Linked DNA regions of Struthio camelus. The protein of the gene in region 2 binds, or shares a complex with, the protein of the main gene of each other region. Links are inferred from orthologs where the notes say so. Each region holds a gene or a part of one and is shown on either strand. Other genes may lie near its edges.

The links.
Region 1: the proteins of EIF2S1 (region 2) and EIF2B1 are in contact, whole or in part, in a cryo-EM structure (PDB 6K72), measured with the Homo sapiens proteins. The link is inferred for Struthio camelus from reciprocal best matches to the Homo sapiens genes EIF2S1 and EIF2B1. Residues at the interface, in NP_004085.1 of Homo sapiens: Ala28, Glu29, Met30, Tyr33, Gly44, Met45, Leu47, Leu48, Arg75, Lys80, Tyr82, Ile83, Asp84, Arg88; in NP_001405.1 of Homo sapiens: Gly39, Thr41, Ile42, Gln43, Gly44, Leu45, Arg46, Ala47, Asn48, Glu70, Arg74, Ser77, Ser80, Leu81, Glu82, Tyr83, Ser84, Asp85, Tyr86, Cys89, Leu305.

The regions. Positions count from the first base shown.
Region 1 is NC_090958.1:16,713,567-16,721,289, reverse strand, and holds the start of EIF2B1 (translation initiation factor eIF2B subunit alpha), read right to left. Parts: upstream 3,214-7,723; 5' UTR 3,102-3,213; coding exon 3,089-3,101; intron 3,010-3,088; coding exon 2,908-3,009; intron 2,812-2,907; coding exon 2,675-2,811; intron 2,601-2,674; coding exon 2,484-2,600; intron 1,995-2,483; coding exon 1,882-1,994; intron 968-1,881; coding exon 899-967; intron 1-898. Other genes in the region: GTF2H3 (general transcription factor IIH subunit 3), read left to right, coding at 3,251-3,260, 3,346-3,425, 3,789-3,898, 4,473-4,636, 4,909-4,971, 5,287-5,316, 6,738-6,766, 6,852-6,926 and 1 more.
Region 2 is NC_090946.1:46,693,070-46,700,293, forward strand, and holds the start of EIF2S1 (eukaryotic translation initiation factor 2 subunit 1), read right to left. Parts: upstream 3,002-7,224; 5' UTR 2,654-3,001; intron 702-2,653; 5' UTR 701-701; coding exon 460-700; intron 1-459. Other genes in the region: ATP6V1D (V-type proton ATPase subunit D), read left to right, coding at 3,250-3,290, 5,679-5,796, 6,995-7,074. UniProt on the Homo sapiens protein: Member of the eIF2 complex that functions in the early steps of protein synthesis by forming a ternary complex with GTP and initiator tRNA. This complex binds to a 40S ribosomal subunit, followed by mRNA binding to form a 43S pre-initiation complex (43S PIC).

The DNA.
Region 1 (7,723 bases), on a different chromosome or scaffold from region 2:
ACGTACATATACTGTTACATATGCTTGTAATGAGCCTTCCTCTGCTTCCCAAGCAGGAATATTTAATAATTATGTCTTCTGCCTGACCTGACGTTGGTAATTGGGAAAAGGCTTGGAGAAGCTGGATCTGATTAGGGATACTCCTCAGTTTCAGGAACGTGAATATCTTGATAAAATGCTAACTACACAGTGAAGTTTAACTCTGCCTCGTAATATCCTCGGCCAAACACATAAGATGTTCCTCATCTTGTCCACTTTTCTTTACGTTCTTTCAACCTGTTTTGCTCATTGAAAATACAGACCTAAAAAGCAAACCATCAGCTAAACATTCTGAAAAGGAGAAATGTTAATGCATCACGCAAAACTTTCAGATTTGTCCAGTCAAGCCACCCTCTGCACTGGATTACAGCTGCCTTGGTAAGCAGACTGGTATGTTTTCTTCTCTTGGAGGCATTCTGACATGCATTTTGCACTAATGTAGGAACTGGGATTTAGTTATAATAGTTCTTTCCTTTCTCATACTTTGTACTTACATACACTAAGCAGTAGTGATTTAGCAATCAATCAGTTTAAAAAATGCTAGTGCTTACTGTATGCAAATTAGAAAAAAAGGTAGCCTTTTTGCATAGCACCCCAGTTCCTTTTTCCGTGTATCCCCACCCAAGTTCTGTACTTAGGCCTGACTTCATTCTCATATGCAAGCATCAAGTACTCGTTTTATAGCAGGCATATTCTCCTAATTGGGCACCAAAAGGTTTAACTTGTTTAGCTTGTTTGGTGACTGTGACAGACTAAGTAACAATCTCTGTACTTTGAACAAGCTTCTATAAAGCTCATATATAACTCTGTCAAAGTAAAATTGGGATGAATAGTGTTAAGATTTAGTGATCAGACTTACCCAACTGCAGCATCTAGAATCACAGTCACAGGAATGTTCAACTTGCGCAGAGCTTTTGCCATTTTTTGCCTATTAAAACAGCATGTTTGAAGCTTAAAAGTCTTTCTTTAAAGACCGCTAGAAAAATATTGTCTGAAGGAGTGAAACCCATGACTGCCCACGTTCCCTCGCCAGTAGTTTTGATTTGTGATGTTCCCCCTAAAGGAAAATAAATTCTTGTGTAGAAATGGAAACAAACAGATTATGACAAACCTGACAAAGTCAAGTCAGTTTTAGCAGTCTGGAATTATAGCTACAGAAAGATAAGTCAGGGAAACATTATTAAGATCGCTGATTACCTAAGCTGTCTCTGCTTTTCCATCAACAAGACACAAGAAATAAAGCATGGGCTGTATTGCTAGAAGTTATTTTAGTGACCCTGATAGATCATACGTACTTCATTTAGCTAAACGTCCTTTATGCTAGTGAAAGACTGGTTAGCAACACGAGTACGTATAGCTATGTCCCGCATGCAACTGTATTCTCTGGAGAGGGAAAGCCTGCTATCAGTAACACACGTTATCTGGCATCTTCAAACGACGTTGTTAGCTAAATATTTTACTTTGTATGCTTAAAGATTATACTGACTATTTTGGCCTGCTTCTGAAGCTGACAACCAGAAGTCAATCGTCTCCCGTCAAAAAAGGAAAAAAGTAAATCGGCACTGACTGAAGGTTTGTAAACCTTTGAGGAAAACCCAGGTAGCAGTGTAATGAGGTTATTTAGTACAGAAAATTAATTGCCAATAACCAGGCAGCAGTGTAATGAGGTTATTTAGTACAGAAAATTAATTGCCAATATTTATGTTTACTTGTCTGGAACAATGTTACATTATTAGTGATACAGTTACCCTTGAAAATGATGCAAATAAACTTAGCTTTTCTTAAGATATGACAGATGTGATGCTGGCTGATAGATAAAACACAAAATTAATGTGTACTTGCCCTGCTTGATCTGGCTGTGATTCAGTGACATAAACACTGAATCGCTTCTTTGACTCAACAGCTGCTTCTAACACTCTGAGGACCACTCTTGAGTAGGCATGTGTCAATATTCGCTGTCAAAAAAAACACATTACTTTTTGCTGAGCTTCCGAGAACTTTTGTTGTTGTTGTGTCATGGGTTTTACTTCACACAACTGTCCGCCAACTTTAAATAATACTGTACGCCATTTGTATTATACAAATTATAGGACAGCAAACCACTCTGAGCTGGACTTTACATGGCAGGTTTTTACACAGCCCTGATGCTGCCGAGGGGGCCGAGGATCTAATACTTTCAATGGAGAGTTCACATTGAGACTCCTCAGCACCTCTTACAAGTAGGCCACAAGGTAATGCTGCTTTGCATAGAAATAGAGGTAGGGGGAGGGGAAGTCTTAAGAAAATAAAGCAATGGGTGACGTTATGCCTGTGTATTCACAAAAGCCACCATCAGACGACGTTGTCATAAATGGATGCTAACAAATGTCACTCCCCTCCAGCTTCGCCACCGCTGGAAGCAGCGGGGCACCCGCACAAGAGCAACGCCGCCTCGGCCTACTTACGGCACCGTCTCTGATGAAGGGATGGCAGAGCTTGGCGATCTTGTTCCTCGACAGGGAGACCTTCCTGAGGAAAATCTCCCCTCGCTCGATCATGATTTCTTTGCACTTGGAGTAGTCCTGGAAAAGAGAGCGAGCCGGGCGTGAGGCCGGCGAGGGGGGAGGCCGGCGGCGAGGGGGGAGGCTGCCCTCACCGAGTGCTCCAGCGAGGTGAGGCTGATGAAGCGCAGGAAGAGCTCCCCGCCCGAGGACACGGCCACCGAGGAGTCCACCCGCGACAGCGTGGCGATGGCGTCCAGCAGGCTGCTCCGCAGGCCCTGGATGGTCTCGCCTGGGGGTGGGGGCAGAGGCGCGCCGTCAGGGCAGGCCGGGGCCTGGCCGGCCCGGGGCGGGGGCGGGAGGGGAGGGAAGGGGGAGCCGGGCCCACCTCGGTCCCGCTTGAGGAAGCCCAGCAGCGCGCGGATGGCGGCCACGGCCGAGGCGACGTCGGGGTCGTCCCTCAGCTGCGCCCGGAAGGCCTCGATCAGGTCTGCAAGGCAAAAGCAGGCGCCAGCGTCAGCCCCGGCCGCGCCGCCCCGCGCCCCGCCCGCCCCGCGCCCCGCCGTTACCGTCCGTGCTCATGGCGGCGGCGGCGGCGGCGCTGCGCTGCGCTGCGCTGCGCTCCCCCCGCACCGCGGCGCGGCGGCCGGCCGGCCTGCGCGTGACGTCACGCCGCGCGCCGTCACGTCACGGCGGCGCCGCAGCGGCGGGGAGGCGGCGCGGGCGGCGACATGAGCGCGGGTGAGGCGGGCGCGGGCGGCTCGGGGCCGGCGGCGCCGCCGCCGCCGTGTCCCGGCGTGACGGCGCCGTGTGCTCTGTCTTTCAGATGACGAGCTGAGCCTGCTGGTCGTCATCGTTGACACCAACCCGATCTGGTGGGGCAAGAGGGCGCTGGGGGAAGCCGAGGTACCGGTACCGCTTCCGCCGGCCCCGCGGGGCGGCTCCCTGAGGAAATTAACGTTTTTCGGTCTGGCGCTTATTTCTTTGCGAGCTGCCCGCAGACGGGCTAGGTCTCTGATTTCAGAGCTGTGCGATGCAATTGATAATTGCGTGAGACTGCTCTTAACGTGCCTGCTCGGTGTCCTGTATGGCTTGAGCCTTCTTTCCCGCCCCTAAATCCTTCCCATTAAGAAATGAATCTCCTTCAGCATCCTAAAATTCGAGTTCTTTTAAGTCTTCAGTCATTTGAATTGAGAGATTTCTTCTAAATTACTCAATTTTGAATATTATCGTGTTATATCTGCTTTTTTTTTTTCTTCTGTTTTTCAGCAGTTCACCCTGTCAAAATGCCTGGATGCGGTGATGGTCCTGGGAAATTCGCACTTGTTTATGAACCGTACCAACAGGCTGGCTGTGATAGCGAGTCACACGCAAGAAAGGTGTAGTTGCTTGTTACTGGTGTACAAACTTAATTTTAAAGTGCTCTTTCCTACAGCTCTCCCCTAAAGTCCTTGTTGGACTGGAGTTTGTTATTGAAACCAAGTTTAAAATGTGTAACCTATCATTCTCTTAAAAATAGAAATTAATTAAAACAGAGTGAGAAAGAAATAAAATGGGCTTTTACTTAAGCAACAAATATATGTAGATTGAAGGTGAGGAGTCGTGTAGTGAGCAGGACAACAGAAGTGGGGAAATTTTCCTGTTTAGTGAGTCCTGTGTTGCCCCTCCACCCCAAGTTATTTGTGAGTCTCAGGAACAAGTGGTCTGCCCCTCAGGGCAGACACGATGTCTGCTAATTTTCTTAAACCGTGCCTTGAAAGGAAGGGAGTGAATGCAGGCATTACTCCATTGTGATTTTGAAGATTGCCTGGCTTATGTAGTCTCTTTAATGGCTTAAGCATTAAAATTATGGAAAGCTCTACTTCTGAGTATTGCTGTCTACAACTGGTTTATTTATTTATTTTTCTTATGAGCATATTGGCAAAACATGAATACTTTATTCTTCTCTTTCAGTCGTTTCTTGTATCCCGGGAAGCGTTGGACTTTTGCAGATCTCTTTGGAGATGGTGGTAGTTTTGCAGAATCTAATTGCTCTGGCAGCAGAGATGGGAAATACGAATTGTTAACAGCAATAAATGATGCAATTACAGAGGAAATTAAAGACCTCATGACGAAAAGTAAGGAAAAGACAATTCTAGGTTTAATATGCGGAATTAGAAAATACTGGAGACTTTCAAGGAGTTGCTGGCATTTCCTTTGTATGCGGCCTTATTTTGGTCTTCTGAATTTTAATGTGTTTAAAGTAGATAAGGTTATACCTGACACTTTTGGGGTCTCTGCGCTAATCCTATTTGCCAAAAATAGAACTCAAATGAAGTATTTATTATGGTCAAGTTCGGCAACTGTTTTCATATATAAAGTAACTTCTGCAGCTTGTCTTGTATTGCAGCTGACATGAGGGGCCAGCAAACAGAAACTCTGCTAGCAGGATCACTTGCTAAAGCACTTTGTTGTATCCTTTTAATGAGTGAATTTTCAAAGCCATTATTTCTATCTATTTTTTAAGACCGTTTCTTATCATATTGATTATGCTTCACTCTAGGATTTACTGTTCTATAATAATATTCAAAGCAGAGATGTTTTTTAAAACTATGATTTGTCTAATAACTGTGGATTGTGGTTACTAAAATGTGTGTTAGCTAAGGTGCTGAACGCATAGTACAAGTACTGGATTTACTTTCTGGTTTGGTAATTTTTGGAAATGTTATGTCTGCTTCTTGGGCATGCTAAGAATAGAGTGTTGATTCCTTAATGTCAACTAATGTAGACATTAACAAGATGAGCAAAGAGGTGAAAGGTAATACCTTTTCTCTTGTTCTGAGTGAATACATAAATATTTGAATTGGAAGGACAAGAAAAAAATGTATGCACACATATATACGTACAAACAAACATGCATATATTTCTGTACCCTCTTTCCCACATTGGCAATAATAGGTAAAGGTTTGTCTTGATTGTCAAGTTGCCCAATGTGAGCTAGGTCTGGGTGGATTAGAAATAAGCATTTATGGAAGTGAGGCAGAAAGCAAAGAGAATCTTAAAATTTGGGGGAAAAAATCTTAGAACTTCCAAGTAAAACAAACATAATTCTAAAAAGGCGCAAATCCACAAATGAGCTTCCACAAATTAGAGCCCAGTTTTAAATGTCTTCCAAAATTCTTGATGTGGCATCCAAAAGGACCGCAGTACTCTGCATCAGATGTTTCAACCTCTTCCATATTGAACGATTAAAAAAAAATGATTTTTATCTCAGCTGGGTGTAAAACACCTAAAACAAGGAGGTTAAGCATCCGTTGTTGGAAACAATGGAGAGAGCTATCGATTAGGAGAACTCTCAGTTCTTTGGAGAATTAAAATTCTGCTGTAATACAAACTTTTAGTACTGTGATATTTAACAACACAAATCATTCTTCTGTAGAGCTGTTTTCTTTTTCTGCAGCTTTAGAATCATAGGGTAATTTATTTTGGAAGGGACATTGGGAGGTCTCTATTCCAGGCTCCTGTTCAAAGCATAGACCGCTATGAGGTCAGACCAGGCTCCCCAGGGCTTGAAAATAGAAATAATGAAAATACTGAACATAACTTAGTATTTATAATATTACTTTGGGTCAGATTAGTCTGTGTTCTTGTTCTAGTTTTCTGTTGCATGTGGGTGAACAGTAAAATTGGAATCTCTTCAGGACAAGTAAAAACTGCAAAGAACTCCTTGAAAGTTGCGTGAAGTGCAAATCCTCTTCCAAAGGGACCATCTGCAGAGTTGGGATGATAGTTTAATTTCTTACTCAGTCTTGGTCTTCCTCTTGTGACTTCTGTAATCAGGAGAAGTGCTACTTGTGCAGCTGGTTTTGCGAGGTGAAACTGGACTAGAATCAGCTATACACTTCAGATCGCTTTGATCAGTGAGAATTACCTTGTTATTCTTGAGATATGTATTTGAACCAGTGAGCTGGTAATGAACAGCTTTAAAATTTCTTTCCCGTTCAATATCCAATTGCTTTTGGATAACAAATGAGATGGTATCCACTTTCATAGCAGATCTGAATTAGCCCACAGATACTCGTCAAGTATTTCTGCTGCTCTTAATGCCATTGAGAACATAAAACAGTCGCATACATCTATTTTAACCAAAGTGTTAGATCATGCTGCATAATTACAAGGACAAGCTACAAGGGGTAGAAATAATGTGCTCATGCATTTCTCTTTCTTTTCAATGCTTAGGCAATCAAGAAATTAAATCAAGAATTCTGGTAAGAGTTTTTGTTGTCAATTTTCTTTGAGTGTTGAAATACGGCTGTATTATGTAGACTAACAAGTTTGAATTGCTTTACGTAGGTCATAAAAGCTGCAGAAGACAGTGCACTGCAATATATGAATTTCATGAATGTGATCTTTGCAGCACAGAAACAGGTGAAGTTGGCATTTTATTTACTATATGATACACACTGTCTTTTATTAATGTATAGATGTAACAAAATCGTTCATTTCTCTTATGATCGTGGTCTAGTTAAAGACTTCTTGAAGGTTATGAAGCCTATCATGTCTAGGGTGAAAGGCAGGAGTTTAAAAAACAGACCTAGATCACTGCATTTGAACATAAAAGGTCTAGTAGGCCAGTTGAAGTTTGCTCTGGAAGTACAGACAGTAACCCTTTTTCCCATCCTTGTAGATAATGTATAAGATACCTTTTCTGGTAGTTCTTGTATTGCCATATATTAGGAAGTGGAGGCTGGAAATCTGGATTCGTGTGCTGCTCAAGTAAGAGACCTTCCCTGTGTCTGTGGTGGGCCTGCAGGCTTAAAAATGTGTGCATGCATGGAGCGTTTGTATAGCTGAAACAGATCAAGACAATAACCCTGAGGTTGCACTGGTCCTAGCTGCGTTTCTGTTTTTCATGAGTTTCCCCTTTTTGGTTGCAGAGTATTTTGATTGATGCCTGTGTCTTGGACTCTGATTCAGGTCTTCTGCAACAGGTACAGGCTTCTTATTCCTATTTATTGTTTACAGTAGTTGTTAGATATTTGATCAGAAATCAACATGTTTAAAGCTCTCCTTTTTGCAGCCATGTCTTGAAAGGGAGCCTCTCTTGCACCATTTTATGGGACATCATTGAGGAGTTCTTTCACATCTGCAAGATCCTTTCTCTTCCTTTAATCATGTATTTTTTCATAAAAATCTGTTTGCCCTTTTATTGTAACATAAACCTG
Region 2 (7,224 bases):
ATCGTTACATAACTGCCATCCATTTTATAGTCAGGGTTGATGCCTTAGGGCACAGGATGAACTGTGAGGTCTAAATGCTCATCATTTAGATTTTTTTTTTCACTACCACAGACAGGTCTAGTATCATTCTTCTCTCCAGTTAAGACTCAGAAAATAAACAGAGACTTCAAAAGAAAATCCCACTTCAATACCGTTTGTTGACTAAAACATTGAATTTAAGAGTTTGAGGACTCAAACAAATCTTTACTGGTGTGACTGATCTTCATCAACCTGATTCTCAAAGGACACACAGAACAATGCTCACAAACATCACGTGGCAGGATTGTGCTCTATTTTGTTTGAGTACCTTAAGCAAAAAAAATTCCCAGCCAAAAAAACCCAAAAACCTAAGCTGCCCAGTTTATTTGCGTTTATCTTTATGATTTCAAGTTTGATACTGCCCATAATATCCCAGAATACCTTTTTCTTTGTCAACCCTTATGACCACAACACACTCATTCCTCCCAATGCGGATGAGTTTGTTTATGGAACGGATACGTCTTCTGGATAGCTCACTAAGAAGGATCATGCCTTCAATGTTGTTGTATTCCAACAGGCTGACATAAGCTCCCATTTCAGCAATGGACCGAACGTTGACCATCACTACATCTTCCACTTCTGGAAATTTATGCTGGTAGAATCTACAGCTTAGTCCTGGCATTCTGTAATTTGCGCAAAAAGAAACAAAGATGACTTAGCTCATAGTACACCACTAACCTCTCCCACAAACGTAGTAAGAAGCAGCAAGGACTAGTAAGGATAAAGAGGAACACTGAACTCTGGAACAAGAAATTGCAAATTACTTTAGGAAAACATTTCCAGAATTAGGCTCTCATAAAATACTAAATTAATTTATCTTAGTATTTAGTATTATCACAGGCTTTGCTAAGATGATCATCTTTTGCATGAAGGTAAAAAACCTTGCTACCTAGTTATTATCCACTTCGACTGTCGTATGACATATATTGCACAATACAGAAGAGACTTCATGTGGTGAAAAGGAGGTACAGCACTCTTCATTCATCTAAATTCATAATATCATGTAAAATTATAAATCAGATTTCAACAACAGGAGCACACAGAAGAGAAGAGAACTGCAGCGATAACAAACATATCTGTAAGCGTATCATAAGACAGCATGTGAAATGTTGATAAAATAACAAGCAGAGCAAAGCTTCTGTAGTACTGAGAAAGAAGAGACCCCATCTATCTCTATACTCTAGAAAATGATATTTTAAACTCAACATAAAATATTTGGAATAATTCCGTACAGAGAGAGGAAGGCTTACAGCTCCAGAGGCCACTTTTCAGAAGTCAAAGGATGCAAGAACAGCAGAACACACGCAAAAAAGAAGGCTCATGCTTCATAAACGTGCAGCGATAAGAAGAAATGCACACTAATCCATGCAGTTTCATAGGAAACTGCTTCATTTTCCTGATGATGAGAGTAATCCACACATTCATCACTACTAATCAGGCTACCCCAACTCCTTTTGTCTATGCCTAGAAGTTTGATACAGAACTATAAGATCACTCTGGATGTAGCAGCCTGTAATACCAAGTCAAACATGTTACTTCCCTGAAAGATTTAATTGCCATTTCAAAGTTTCACGCCTGATCTTCACAGCAGTGCTAACGCACTGCATCAATACAAGAATATTAAAAAGAGTAAGACGGTGATGCCAACTGCTACACAAACACGGCCAAACAATTTTGAAGAAAGTGTCCATCTTTATTTTCATTCTTCACTAACTTTGAGAAAGGAGAAAATATAAACTAGTGAAGCAATTATGAAAACAGTCCTCTAAAGGTTTCACGTAACCATAAGTTCAACAAAGAATCCCAAGACTAAAAATACACATTTTACAATTTACCTTTCCAGTCTATTTAGTGCAATTCAGATTAATCCTGAATATCTATGTATGAGACACTGAATAAACACATAGCATAAAGCAACAACCCCCAACAATGGCGAGCAAGAACAGACAACTACAGCTCTGCACAGACAGCGTTTCACTGCTCTCTCCGTGGTCACAAGGCATTTATGCTGTCCTCCCATCGAAAGGGCCTCAGGGACAACACGCTACCTGCAGCCCCAAGACTGGGAATCATCTTTCCCAGACGCTGGAAATGAACGGGCAAGGATTTAAATCCACATTGCCACGAAACGACCACAGAGGCCTCTGTAAGAACTGGCAAAACCAGGCTAACTTCTGGCCAGAAACTCCTCCGCTGCGGCGTCGCTGCCACGACCCGGTGCCCAGGCCGGGGAGTCACAGCCCTGGGGGCAGCACAGGCGCCGAAGCGGGGACGGAAGCGGCCCCCGGGGCGGCCGAGAGCCCCCGCCGGGCGCAGGCGCGGACCCCTCCAGCAGGCCGACGGCAAGACGCGGGCAGGCCGCGGCCCGGCCCGACCCGGCCCGGAGAGTGCGGCCCCCCGGGCGGGCCGCTCGCAGCTGCGCGGCAGATGGCGGACGCGGCCCTCGGCGCCCCGGGCCCAGCCCTCCGCCACGCCGGTCCTCGCGAGGAGCCGGGCGGCGCGGCGCGGCGCCGGGGCCCAGGGCCGGAGCCTGAGTCGGCGGTAGGAGGCGAGCTGCGCCGGGACGGGCCGTTACCTGGCAACGGCCGGGGGGTCCCGCTGTCCGCTCGCGCTCCCGGATCCCGCGCTGGCCCGGCTCCTGCCTCAGCGTGCACCGGCCCCCGCCGCCCCGCCGCGCTCCTTCTCGCGAGACGGGCCGGCCCCGCCCCGCCGGATCATAGAGTCCCAGCGCCGAGGTGGGGGGACGAGGCGGACGGTGGGCGGGCGAGGGCGTAGCGCTCGCGCTGCACTAGAACGGTCTCGGAGCCTGCGGGACTCCGCGCGCTGAGAGCGAGGCGACCGCTTAAGAGCCGCAGAGTCAAGAACCTCCTGGGAGCACAAACAGGCCCAGGAACAAGTTACGTCTCTCTCCCTTCCCGCCCCCAGAGGGCGCCGTTGGCCCCGGGCGGGCACGTGACCGCAAGGAAGGGGCGGGGCCGGCGCCGGCCTGCGGGAGGGGGCGGGCTCTCCCATCCGGGTTTCTCCCGGCGCTTCCGGCCTGCTCGGGGCGGGGGCGCGGCCGCTGCGCCGGGGTCGCGTCACTCGGCGGGGGGGGGGGCGTCACGCGAGGGTGCGGCGCGGCGGCAGGAGCGGTCCCGCGGCGCTGCCCGCCCGCCCGCCGCCACCACCACCATGTCGGGCAAGGACCGCATCGAGATCTTCCCGTCGCGCATGTGAGCGAGCCTGCGCGCGGGCCGGGGCGGCGGGCGGCGCGGTCGGCGCCTCGCGGGCCGCGGCGGCTGCGGCCGCCCAGCCCGGGCCGGGCCGCGCTTGCGGCCCCGAGCAGAGCCGCGGGGCGGGGGGGGGGCCCGGCCCGGCCCGGCCCGGCCCGGCCCGGCCCAGCCGAGCTGCCGATGCCTCTGCGGGATCAGTTCCGCTTGTGGCATCCACCGGCGTTTCCCGTGCCGCAGGCTGCGCCCGCTGTCGCCGGCCCTCCTGCTGTGCGCCCCCAAGGGCAGTCTCGCTCTGTGTTTCGCGTGAAACCCCTTGCTAGGCAGTTGGAGACTGCAGCTTGATCTTCCCGTTAGTCTCTTTTTTCCAAGTTGCTCAATATTAGCTCTCTGGGCCATGCGAGGGCCATTGCAGGGGCCAGTACCAAGGGAGAAGCAGCTTCCCAGGGGCTTATTATACAGTAAGGCAAAGTTTGATTGCAAAAAAGACCAATTTGTAGAATCTGGGTTCAAGAAAAAAGACCGCAAATCAAACCGCATTTTCTCTTCTAAATAGTTGCCACTGATATAACTAATGTGGCAGCAACTGCATTCGAGAGGTTGGCTGTAAAGGGTTAAGAAAATACAGGAAGTCAAATGCAAAAAGTGCAGTGGACAGTCAAGTAATTTTCCAGATCCTGACAGCAGACTATTTGTCATGAAGTCAGGTGCCTTTTGACAAGGCTTGGGAAGAGGCCGACGTTGGAATGAATGCAAATGTTTAAAATTGACATGCTATTAAAATTGCTATTGTAACAGTGCTATTCATTTTCTCTTCAGAACTCCCTGGGATAGAAGGACTTTGCTTTAAAGTGGAAAGCTGTTTCAAATCTTGCATAAAAACTGGGTTGATGCCTGAGATATAGTCTTTATGAAAGATACCTTGCAGTGGTAGAGAACCTCACATGTAAAATAACAGTCCTTCCCTCATATGAGCTCAGGATGTATGAAATAACACCTTACATGGAAAAATTAATATATTACATGGTAAAGATTCTGTTTTGAATCTTGGATCAGAAATAAGCTGCTGTAGGTAGTAAGTCATTTGGTCTTGCATCTGCTGTTGACCGTCCTCTTTTCATTGAGTTTACACGTCCAAGGAAAAGACACTTCAGTTATTTTGGAAAGGCACCTGTGTTGTGGGCTGGTACCTCATTGTGGCAAGAAGGTGATGATGTACGAAGGCTTAATATTTACAAGCCTCTTCTTCAAAGGAGGTAATAGACCAATAATGCGGCTGATATTTTGATGGGGAAGTAAGTTAGGGCAGTAAAATAAAGATGGCCCCTCTCTGCCTCTGGAACAAATCTTTTTGTTAACTGACAGAGCAGAGTTTTCAAAATCCTTCTTTTTCTTTTTTCTTTCTTTTTTTCTTTTACTCTTTGGTCTTGCTGGTATGAACCTCTTCTGTACTGGACGTGATCCCTTGCAGAAACTGCTCTTATTGACAGTAAACAAGACTTTGTTTAACGCGTTCTCAGAGCCCGTGAAATCTTGCTTGAAGTAGAAACTGAGCCAGTCTCTGACAGGTAGCGAGCAGAGCAAGTGAGCTGGTTCAAGGTGGTGGCATTCCAGAACCAGTTCCAGTTTGTTATGAAAGTAAAGCTACCTTTTTATTCTTTGACCTTGTTTTTCATCATGAACATTCAGAAAGTACTCACTTTTTTTTTCCGGTTATAAGCGTCTTTTAGACATTAATGAAGCCACTCTTATAATATGCCTGTAAAGTGGGGGAAGTAATGGATTTCACAGTGTAGGTAGAATCTTAATTATACTTAATTTTTCCAAGGTCAGAGAGGAAGTGTGCAGGCTACTCCTTTCACAGAGCTGTCTTGAGTGTTGTCCTTTGTGTGTAGTAATTATGTGTACAAAGCAGTAGCTTAAGTTAGCAAAACTTGTGTTTTTTGTAGTATAGCTACTGTCATTTTAGTTAACCTAAATCAACAAATTGTGCAATTTAAACCATACTTCACAGGAGTAGAGGGAAACGGGGATCCTTCAGTTCCCAAATCTGTGTCAGAATGGTTCATTTGGAGTAGCTGTCATCAGGAAAAATGAAAACTCTTTATTTCCTATTATGAAGGGGCTGAAAAATAACTTGTCAATTTTCCATGCTATTCAGCTTTACAGATACTAACCTTGTAATCCTCATTGATGGAGAGGAGATAAGTTCCCTTGATTTCAAACAGAAAAAGAGAATTCTTTCCTGAATTGTCCAACCTGGTTTACTGCATTGATTTTGCTCGGTTGCTTCATAATTTCAGTCATGTCCGTGCCAGGAAACTTGTTATGACTTTTTCCTAATCCCTTTGGATGACACAGGGCCTTTTTGTTTCTTGGTCTGTTTAACAGGGCTCAGACCATCATGAAGGCTCGTTTGAAAGGAGCCCAAACAGGTCGTAACCTCTTGAAGAAAAAATCTGATGCTTTGACACTTCGATTCAGGCAGATCCTTAAGAAAATTATTGAGGTAGGTAAACTGGAATTTTCCTATATTTAGCTCACTCCATTTAAAAGTTCTCTGTTATATGTCAGTTGTACGTTCCCATCCTGCTAACTTCATAAGGTAAGCTAGAATGTAGTACAACTTTGTGTATAACCTGTGTTTTGTAAGTGAGGCTACTGAGGACAAATAAGCAGAAGTATGTTTTCCTGGCTGCGATGGTACTGAAAATCTGTAAGACTTAATATTCTTCCCCTCTTTCCAACTAGCGCTAGATTCTCTTATTTTATATCTAGAGTTTCCTACTGCCTGCTCTGCTACGTTACAGGGGGTTTGCTGTGACAGTGCTAAGTGCTGTAGGAGTGGATTTAACATGTTCTGTGGTACTATTTTTTTTTGCTAGAGAGCACACTGCAGATCTGTGTTTCCTGCATGATCAGGTACACCAGGAGGTAGAGACAAGAAGTTTCATCCAGATCGAATTTCTTTCTTTATAAAGAAATGCCAAGTCCTGTTTCCTGCGCTCTTTGCAGCACAAATGACAAAATACAAGATATTCAGTAGAGCCTGGTGTGGCTTGTTCTGTCCTACCATACTAGATGGGATTCATCTGTATTGTTTAGACTATTACTGCTGCGGATGGCCAGGGTTAGCAGTAGTACTTTGTTATCATGCTTTAGACAAGCTTTTGGCACTCTTACGTCTAGTTGCCTGTAGACAAACAGAACAGCAATGCACTGGCTGATACACAAAGGCTCTTGCTTCTGAATAGCATATTTTTTTTAGCGCCAAGGGACTGAAATGTGTAAAAATAGGAAAACTGGAGCAGGAGGAGAGAGCAGCTTCACTAAGCTGCATACATCTGTATGCTGAACAACAACTTAAGATATCTTACATTATTCAGTACAATATCAGGTAAGAGTGTTTTCCCACTGTGCCATTATATTGTTGTGAATTAACGCTCACCTAGTATGGTTTTCTGCTGATAAAGATAGTCAAGTCTTTCGCAGTTCTGTGAGTTCTTACACTGACTCAAACAGCTTTTTCTTTTTTTTTTTTTTTTGCCAGTCACCTGGGAATTATGATTTCTGGTTTGAGATATAGAATTTCCTCTGTCTTAAATTCTGTATTGTTTTCTTGATGCTTTTAATTATCCATCCTGCAGAAGGAGTAATGTGCCTTATGTTTGTTGCCTCCTCCCCCCCCACCCCCCCCCGCCCCCCAGACTAAGTTGCTGATGGGTGAGGTGATGAGAGAAGCTGCCTTTTCACTTGCTGAGGCAAAGTTCACAGCTGGAGACTTCAGGTGAGGACTGCTGATCTTACTTGTGGGAATCCTACGCATGGGAAAGAGTGATCAACAAACTGTTGCTCTCTCTTTTGGAAAAAAGTAAAATTCTTAAATACTTGTTAAAAAGAGCAAAAGAAGGCAGTGAACTAGGTAGGACAGTATGGT